Macaca fascicularis: one gene and its partner. The protein of the gene in region 2 interacts with the protein of the main gene of each other region in a biochemical or structural test. Links are inferred from orthologs where the notes say so. Each region holds a gene or a part of one and is shown on either strand. Other genes may lie near its edges.

Region 1 (4,195 bases), on a different chromosome or scaffold from region 2:
TTTAATGTAAATTCCGATTCAGTAAGTTTGCGTGGGACTTGAAATTCTGCATTCCTGACAGTCTTGAAAGTTATCAGTGCTGGTGAACACTCACTAAACCACCAGAAACGTTGACTGCCTCATGTCGGAAACTACTTACATTCAGAGAATGAGAATTCCATGCTATTTTGTTACTGGTCAACAGCCAGTTTCCTTATCCTTCGTTTTCTAAGTCCAAGTCACATTCCCACCCTGACTGTTCTCAAACTGTCTTATTTTGGTTGGCTTTAGTTTCACTTTGTATACTCTAAAATGTAGTTTCTTAAAGAAGATATTTCCTCGAAACTTAATTTTTAAACACCATTAGGCTAGGGGGGCCGTGGCTCACGCCTGTAATCCCAGCATTTTGGGAGGGCAAGATGGGAGGATCACTTGAGGCCAGGAGTTCAAGACAACCCTAGCTAAAATGGTGAAAACCCCGTCTCGAATAAAAATACAAAAATTGGCTAGGCGTGGTAGCAGACGCCTGTAATCCCAGGTACAAAGGAGGCTGAGGCATGAGAACCTGGTGAAGCCGCGGGGTGGAGGTTGCAGTGAGCCGATATCGCGCGGCGGCATTCCAGCTTGGGTGACAGAGCGAAACTCTGTCTCAAACCAATCCAAACCAAAACCAAAAGGTACCCGAAACACAAGCAAGTTACCATCCTTTCTTGTGAAACAATGGACGGTTCTGAAAAATGCCGTAGCAAGTTTAAGGTACGTTTTCTGGCTTGAGTGGGCTTTACTTGCTTTTGGCCTTATCGTGGTTCTCGGTTATTTTTGCAACAGGACGGCCTGAATATTGGCCAGGACGCCTCCCTGAGTAATAGTGACTTTGCCCAGCAGCTTGTTGAGCTGCTCGTCGTTGCGGAAGGCCAGCTGCAAGTGGCGGGGGATGCTATGGGTCTTGTCACGTATGGCGCTGCGTGTCAGCTCCAGGATATCGGCGGCCAGGTATTCTAAGTACAGCGGCGCGCCGGCTTCGACAGGCTCAGAATAATTGCCCTTTCGAAAAAGACGATGGACCCTGCGCTACTAGAAACTGCAAGGCTGGTACCGATGAACAACTTTGTGCTTTACTTCCGTTTTCCATGTCCAAACACAGCGACCTCTGAAAACTGTAAAAAACAAGCAAGATGGAATGGCGCCTGAAGAAATACTTTTATACAAACTGCAAGGCTGCAATAGAGAGTTATCCTATTGGTCAATTATGTTTCCTGCTTTATCCAATAGAAAAAGAGTCCATAAATTCCATATTTGCATAAACCCCACCCCTCAGTGAAACTGTATTTCTTTTATCCAATCAGAAGTGAGGAATCTTAAACCGTCATTTGAATCTCAGGACTATAAATACGTGGGCTCTGAACTGTTCTCTCTACTACTCTGCTGGAGAGTGTTAGTAGCTTTTTTGTTTTGTTTTAGGAATAGCGATGCCTGAACCCTCTAAGTCTGCTCCTGCCCCTAAAAAGGGCTCTAAGAAGGCCATCACTAAGGCGCAGAAGAAGGATGGTAAGAAGCGTAAGCGCAGCCGAAAGGAGAGCTATTCCATCTATGTGTACAAGGTTCTGAAGCAGGTCCACCCCGACACCGGCATCTCCTCCAAGGCCATGGGGATCATGAACTCCTTTGTCAATGACATCTTCGAGCGCATCGCGGGCGAAGCTTCCCGCCTGGCGCACTACAACAAGCGCTCGACCATCACCTCCAGGGAGATCCAGACGGCTGTGCGCCTGCTGCTGCCCGGGGAACTGGCTAAGCATGCTGTGTCCGAGGGCACCAAGGCTGTTACCAAGTACACTAGCTCCAAGTAAGTGCTTATGTAAGCACCTCCAAACCCAAAGGCTCTTTTCAGAGCCACCTACTTTGTCGCAAAGAGAGCTATAACCACAATTTCTTAAGGTGGTGCTGCCTCTGTTCTGCTTCAGTTCTAGAGGATCAACTAGAATGTTAGCGAAGGCAACTTTTAGAGCCAAGGTTAACTTGGGGCAGCGCGCCGTGGCTGTCGCCTTTAATCCCAGCATTTTGGGAGGCCGAGGCGGGCGGATCACTTGACGTCAGGAGTTCGAGACTAGCCCGGCCAACATGGTCTCTATTAAAAATACAAACGTTAGGAGGGTGCTGGCGCTCTTTCTCATCTGCCTTTAGCAAACTTCTTTGTTCCCCCTGGGTAAGCCTTCGGGTACTAGTTGTAATTCATTTGATATGGTCACTACTCCCTCCCTGGTCTAGCACAGGAAACTTTCCTTTCTGGATAATGAAACAAGTAATGCAATTCAGGGTACAGTGTTTCTATGGGGGTCATTAGCCGTTAACCGCTTGAGATGAGGGGGAGGGGAGCAGAAAAGTCTAAGCGACAAAAGGGCGTGTAGGGATATTTGCTCCTGCAGTTTGCCTATGCTGTAAATTCTTACCTCCAGTAAGAAGGAAAGATTTCCTCCAGTATTGAGGAAACAGTAAGCGAAGTCTGATTTCCCGGGCGCCTTTGTAGGGAATATTTCCCGTTCCACAAAATGAAATCGCAGTAGTTTTGCGTTATAATTGTTTATCAATGACAACAGCTATGTAGTTTACATATTTCATGCATCCCAGAAATCCAGATTCCCATTTCCTAGGCCACTTAAAATTCGGATTTCCAGCTCTGCGAGATACAAAAGGGTTTGAATTTTGTGCCTTTCCCCAACTGGCCCTACTGCAAAGATACTAGGAAGGCCCCACTTGGAGAGGGAAGCATTTTTCAAGAAATCCGGGACGCCAAAAACAATATAGCTAGAAAAAGGCAGGAAGGGTACTAGTTGAGGAGGACTTAATGGGCCAATTCTTGGTCTGGGGCTGGGGGAAGAAATGGAAGAAGAAAAGAACCTGTTGATTGCACACTAAGTAGGAGGGGATGGGGGAATCGGAGGGGAGTATTTTAAGTGAACTTACGGGCATTATATGTAGGTGACATTCAGCAGTGTCTTCGGATGAAGAAATAAAGTTTCTCAAACAGTTATTGTTTCTGTTTTGAGAAATGGTCTTGCTCTGTTGGCCAGGTGCCATCATAGCTCACTGCAGCCTCGACTTCTCCAGCTCAAGCTATCCTCTAACTTCAGCCCCTTGAGTACCTGGGACTACAGAAATGCGCCACCACACCCAGTTAATTTTTTAATTTTTTGTGGAGGCAAAGGGTCTTACTATCTTGCCCAGGCTGGTCAAGTGAACTCCTGGGCTCAAGTGATCCTCCCGCCTTGGCCTCCCAAAGTGCTGAGATCGTAGGAATGAGTCACCGCGCCCGGCCCAGATTTAATTTTTAAGAATATTTTAAAAGAGGTTCTGGGCCGGGTGTGGTGCAGCTCACGCCTGTAATACCAGCACTTTGGGAGGCCAAGGTGGGAGGATCACTTGAGCCTAGGAGCTCAAGACCAGTCTGGGCAACTTAGTGAGTCTGTCTCCACCAAAAATTTAAAAATTAACCAGGCCTGGTGGCACATTTCTGTAGTCCCAACTACTGGGGAGGTTGAAGTGGGAGGATCATTTGAGCCTGGAAGGTGGAGGTTGCAGTAAGCTGTGATGACACCACTGCACTCCAGCCTGGGTGAGGACAGACCCTGTCTCAAAAATAAAAAAAAAATCTGGATGCCACACAAAATGTCAGTGAACAACTGTAAGTGAAGCACTTCCCATCCTAGTACTGTATATGCAAACTACCGTTGTGAAAGAGACGCTTGTGTTTTAAAAAATCTATAATTTTTTTTAAAATTATAAAACGACCACCTCCCCCAAAACATTACTAAGCAATTGAGGCTGCAGTTTAAGAAACTGATATTTAGGATCTTTCCCCGGAGAAGTGAGACCTGCTAATATAAGCATTTGCAAAATGAACTTTTGGGCCAGGTGCATCATGCCTGTAATCTCAGCACTTTGGGAGACTTAGTCAGGCAGACCACTTGAGCTCACAATTCGAGACCAGCCTGGGCAACATGGCGAAATCCAGTCTCTACAAAAAATTAGCTGGGCGTTGTGGCATATGCCTATAGTTCCAGTTACTAGAGAGGCTGAGGTGGGAGGATTACTTGAGCCTGGGAGGTAGAGGTTGCAGCAAGCCAAGATCGCGCCGTGACAACCTGAGTGACAGAATGAGACACACCCCCCCAAAAAAACAGCCTGACTCATTAAAAAAAAAATTTAAAAATATTAA
Region 2 (4,082 bases):
ATCCCAGCACTTTGGGAAGCCAAGGCGGGCAAAGTGCTTGGGCTCAGGAGTTCGAGAACAGCCTGGGCAACAAGGTGAAACCCTGTCTCTACAAAGAATACAAAAAATAATAATAATAGTGTACTGGTGCATGCCTGTAGCCCCAGCTAGTCAGGAGGCTGATGTAGGAGGATCACCTGAGCCCAGGGAGATTGAGTCTGCAGTGAGCTACAATCATGCCACTGCACTCCAGCCTGCAGGCAGTGTGAGATCCTGTTTCAAAAAAAAAAAAAAAAAAAAAGGCCTTAAAATAAATTTTCTATTTCTCTTGTTTGGTCATGAAAGTGACCAGAAAACACTCAAATCTCAAACTTTGGAAGTGGTGCTACATCTCACCCATGGAAATTTGAAAAGATCAAAAACATCAATGCAGGCCACATATGCTCATGGTTTTAGACAAAACCAAAACTTCAGGAAAGTTTTCAGATATTAAAGCTACAGCAGGCAGCAGGAAGTCTTTAAGAGGTGCTGGTAATGATAACCCAATAAACAAATGTTAAAATAAAGCCAGGACAGAAACACTGAGTTGACACAGTTCCTGCATGAGCCCACTTTGGCTGCAAAACGCCAAGGCCACCAAGTAATTGACCTTGCTTTTTTTTTTTCATAGGTTTTGGGGGAACAGGTGGTGTTTGATTACATAAATTCTTGAGTGGTGATCTGTGAGATTTTGGTGTATCCATCACCCAAGCAGTATGCCCTGAACTCACGACCTTGTTCTTAATTCTGTACCTAGCTCTCCCTTCTGCCTACTACAGTCAGTGGCCTGTTCTCATTCATCTAATGCCCTTCATGATCAACTCCTGGGCTTGCACCTTTCAAAAAGCACACTCCCCACTTCATCTTTTTTGCATTCCTTCTTCAGAAATAACCACACGGCATTATTATTTGTTTCTGTCTTTTCTGCTAAATTCAACGGGGACAAATAATATACTGTCCAGGTCTGAATTGGAATGTGGTCTGTGGACTAGCGTAGTGCCACTTGGGAGTTCGTCAGAAATGCAAACTCTTAGCTTCCACCTCAGACCACCTGATTCAGAATCAGCATTTTAACCAGCTTCCCCAGGAGATTCCCATGCACATGAAAGTTTGAGGAGCACTGGGCTAGATCCCACATTCACTCAACAAATATTTATCGAACCAGTATAGGATACAGAGGTGCTCAACATAAACATGAGGATACGGTGTGGAAAAAGAGCAAGCACAGACATTCCATTGTGACTAAGAAGCTCCTGTAAGTACTAAGAAGAGTATAACCCAGATGTTCCAGTAGAATAAATAATAGTTATATCAAAATTCAGAAGTGGCCACTGCAGCTTGGTTGTGGGAATTGGGAATCCGGAATCTGGGAACTTGACCCTCTTTGCAGCAGGCAGGAAGAATACAGGGAGGTGTGTGAGTGTGTGTGAGTGTGTCTCTTCCCTGCCTCTGCCACAGGCCGCAGGAGCTGACAAGGCCAAGTCCCCGCCCCCCTCAGCTGTCACCCTGTCAAAACAAAGCCGCTGCTGACAGCGCAGGGCCAGCCTGCCCCGCGGCCTCGGGCAATCCTCCCACCTCGGGAGCACGGCCCCCACATCTGGATCTGCAGCTGGGGATGACAGGGTGCCTAAACTGGCACGGAGAGTGGGTAGCAAGAAATGGGTGTCCTCAAACCAAGCAGTAGCGTCCGCGGCGCTGGGCTGTCACCTTGCCAAATCCTGTTTACACCTCGAGCAGCTGGGACAGCGTTTTAACTAAACAAGTAATAATACAATAATGACAGGGCTGTCACTGCGCGCGGCAGCGCCTCCGCCCCCAGCCGAGGGCGTCAGGCGCCACAAGACCCTCGCCTCGGGCTCTGCCCACCTTCGCACCCCGCGCTTTCCTCCCCTTCGCTTTCCCAAAGCGCCAGGAGTCCGGGAGTCTTCTCCACCCCGACTCCTTGCACCCAGTTCCTCCCAGTGGGACACGGGAAGGGATGGACTGCAGAAGGGACCACTCAGTCCCCCAAAAGATGTTTCCCTGCCCCTGGGTCGCCCACCACATGGAGAGCACCGCTCCACTCCCGCGAAAGTGACTCCAGCGAGCTCCTACAGAGCAACAAAACCCCAGAGTAGCCCGGGAGCTCGGATTCCGAAGCTACTCCTTTCAAGCGGAAGGAATGAAGGGCTCTCCGTCTTAGTGATCCCCTTCTTCAAACCCAGCAGGACTCTTATCCAAGAAGAAGCTAATTGGGCTCGGGCGACAAGAGCACTTCCGCGGTGCAGCGGCCCCAGGCGGGAGGCGGGAGGCGAGAGGCAGAAGGCAGAAGGCGGGAGGCGGAGGTGGAAGCGGGAGGGGGAGGGGGGTCCCGCGGGCTGGGCCCCTAGCACCCATCCGCGGTCCGAGAACGGCGAGCGCGTACCTTGCAGGCGGAGTACACTCCGAGTTTCTCCAGTTTCTTGGCCCGCGGAGCGGAGCGTAGTTGCGCCTTCTTCACGGCGATTCGGGCCGAGCCACCGCCTCCCGGTCCTTCGGCCGTGCCCGCTGCAGCCACTGCCGTTGCCGGACCGCAGGCGCCCGAGCCCCCGGCAGCAGCGGCGCAGGGGGAGCCCTGCGGGGGCGCGGGCGGCAGCACCACGGGCTGCGGGGGCAGCGCCCCGGGCCCGGCCCCTGCCCCGGCTCCTGCCCCGCAGCCGCCCGGCCCGGCCCCGCCAGCCTCGGACATGCCGCCCCGGAGCACGGCAGGAGGCGCCGAGTGTCAGGCGCCGCCGCCGCCGCCAGGGTCTCCCTCTCGGGCTCTGGTCGTCGGGAGAGCGAGACCCTCCCCCCACGCCCTCCCGCCCCCTTCGCCCACCCCCCTCCCCGCCCCCGCCCTCCCCCTCGCGCGCCGCTCGCCGGGCTAGCTCCGGCCGGGCCCCGCGAGCTGATGGTGGCGGCGGCGGCGGCGGCGGCAGCTGCTCCCCCAGGAGGGAGGGGACTAGCGGCTCCGCTGCCGCTGCCGCTGCCGCTGCCACCGCCGCCACAGCACACGCCCTTCCTTGGTTATCCTGCCCGGGACTCTGCTCCGCGCCCTGGCTGCGGACATGTTCCTCGGGGCTGCGGACTGGGTGTGCGTGCGGGCGGGTGCCAGCCTCGCAGTGTGTGCCGGGGCCGGGAGGCCCCCCACGGCTTCTTTTCCGCTGCCCGCGGGGTTTGCACCCCCCACCCCAGTGCCTCGACACCTACTGCTCGCCCGCCAGGGGGCGAGGCCAATCCCTGGGTGTGGGTGAGGGTGGGGACGAGGGTGGGGGTAGGGGACTGGAGCCCAGGCACCTGCTGGCCACCTCCCCCCTCCGCGGCCCCCCATCCGACCCCCGCACGCCCGCACCAGTGGGAGGGGGCCGCCTCTCAGTCATTTGTCCTTCCACTCTCTTCCACCCTGTCTCTGAGCAGAGACAACTTCCTCCACCCTAGCGGGAGCCAGAGGAAAAAAAAAATATTTTTGAAAAGTACCCGTCCATGCTAATCCTTTTCTTTGTTGCTAATTCACCAAAATAAAAGCGTGATGTTTTCCCTTTCTCTTTTTAAATACTTTCTGTCAAACTATGTTTTAATATAATTAACACTTTCTTCCTATAGCAATTTGTGGGTCAAATCTGCCAGAGGAGGGGGAAAAAACTTACTATTCCCTGTACTTTTTGTTTGAAAGTGCTGGTTGCTAAAAGAACGATTGTCTAAAAGCATTGTCAAAATAAAAACTATGTGCAGTGGAAAAAGTTTGAATACAAAAAGTTTGTTAACAGGACTCGTTTCTGGGTGGTGGTTCTATCACGTTACGTAGTTTTCAAAATTGTACCACCAGCGTGCATATTAACCAGGAAAAAGATATAAGCATCATTCAAAAGAATAAATACCGATTTTGGCCTCAAACTTAAAAAAAAAAAAAAAAAAAAAAAAAAACCCTCAACTCAGTTTTCAACTCTTGTTGAAAACTGTTGTTTTCTCTGTTGATGACTGTGGAGCATACATGTCAGTGCTGCGTTTGAAAGTGGCGTACGGTTGATCGCCTTCTTAAAGCAGGTTTTAAAAGTCCAGGGCTGTTT

What was found. The genes of interacting proteins can lie anywhere in the genome.
Region 1: of the proteins of KAT2B (region 2) and histone H2B type 1-B, one has a biochemical effect on the other in vitro, tested with the Homo sapiens proteins (3 studies listed by BioGRID). The link is inferred for Macaca fascicularis from reciprocal best matches to the Homo sapiens genes KAT2B and H2BC3.

What each region holds. Positions count from the first base shown.
Region 1 is NC_088378.1:146,884,712-146,888,906, forward strand, and holds the start of histone H2B type 1-B, read left to right. Parts: upstream 1-1,395; 5' UTR 1,396-1,448; coding exon 1,449-1,825; intron 1,826-4,195. UniProt on the Homo sapiens protein: Core component of nucleosome. Nucleosomes wrap and compact DNA into chromatin, limiting DNA accessibility to the cellular machineries which require DNA as a template.
Region 2 is NC_088376.1:28,389,037-28,393,118, forward strand, and holds the start of KAT2B (histone acetyltransferase KAT2B), read right to left. Parts: upstream 2,801-4,082; 5' UTR 2,726-2,800; coding exon 2,423-2,725; intron 1-2,422. UniProt on the Homo sapiens protein: Functions as a histone acetyltransferase (HAT) to promote transcriptional activation. Has significant histone acetyltransferase activity with core histones (H3 and H4), and also with nucleosome core particles.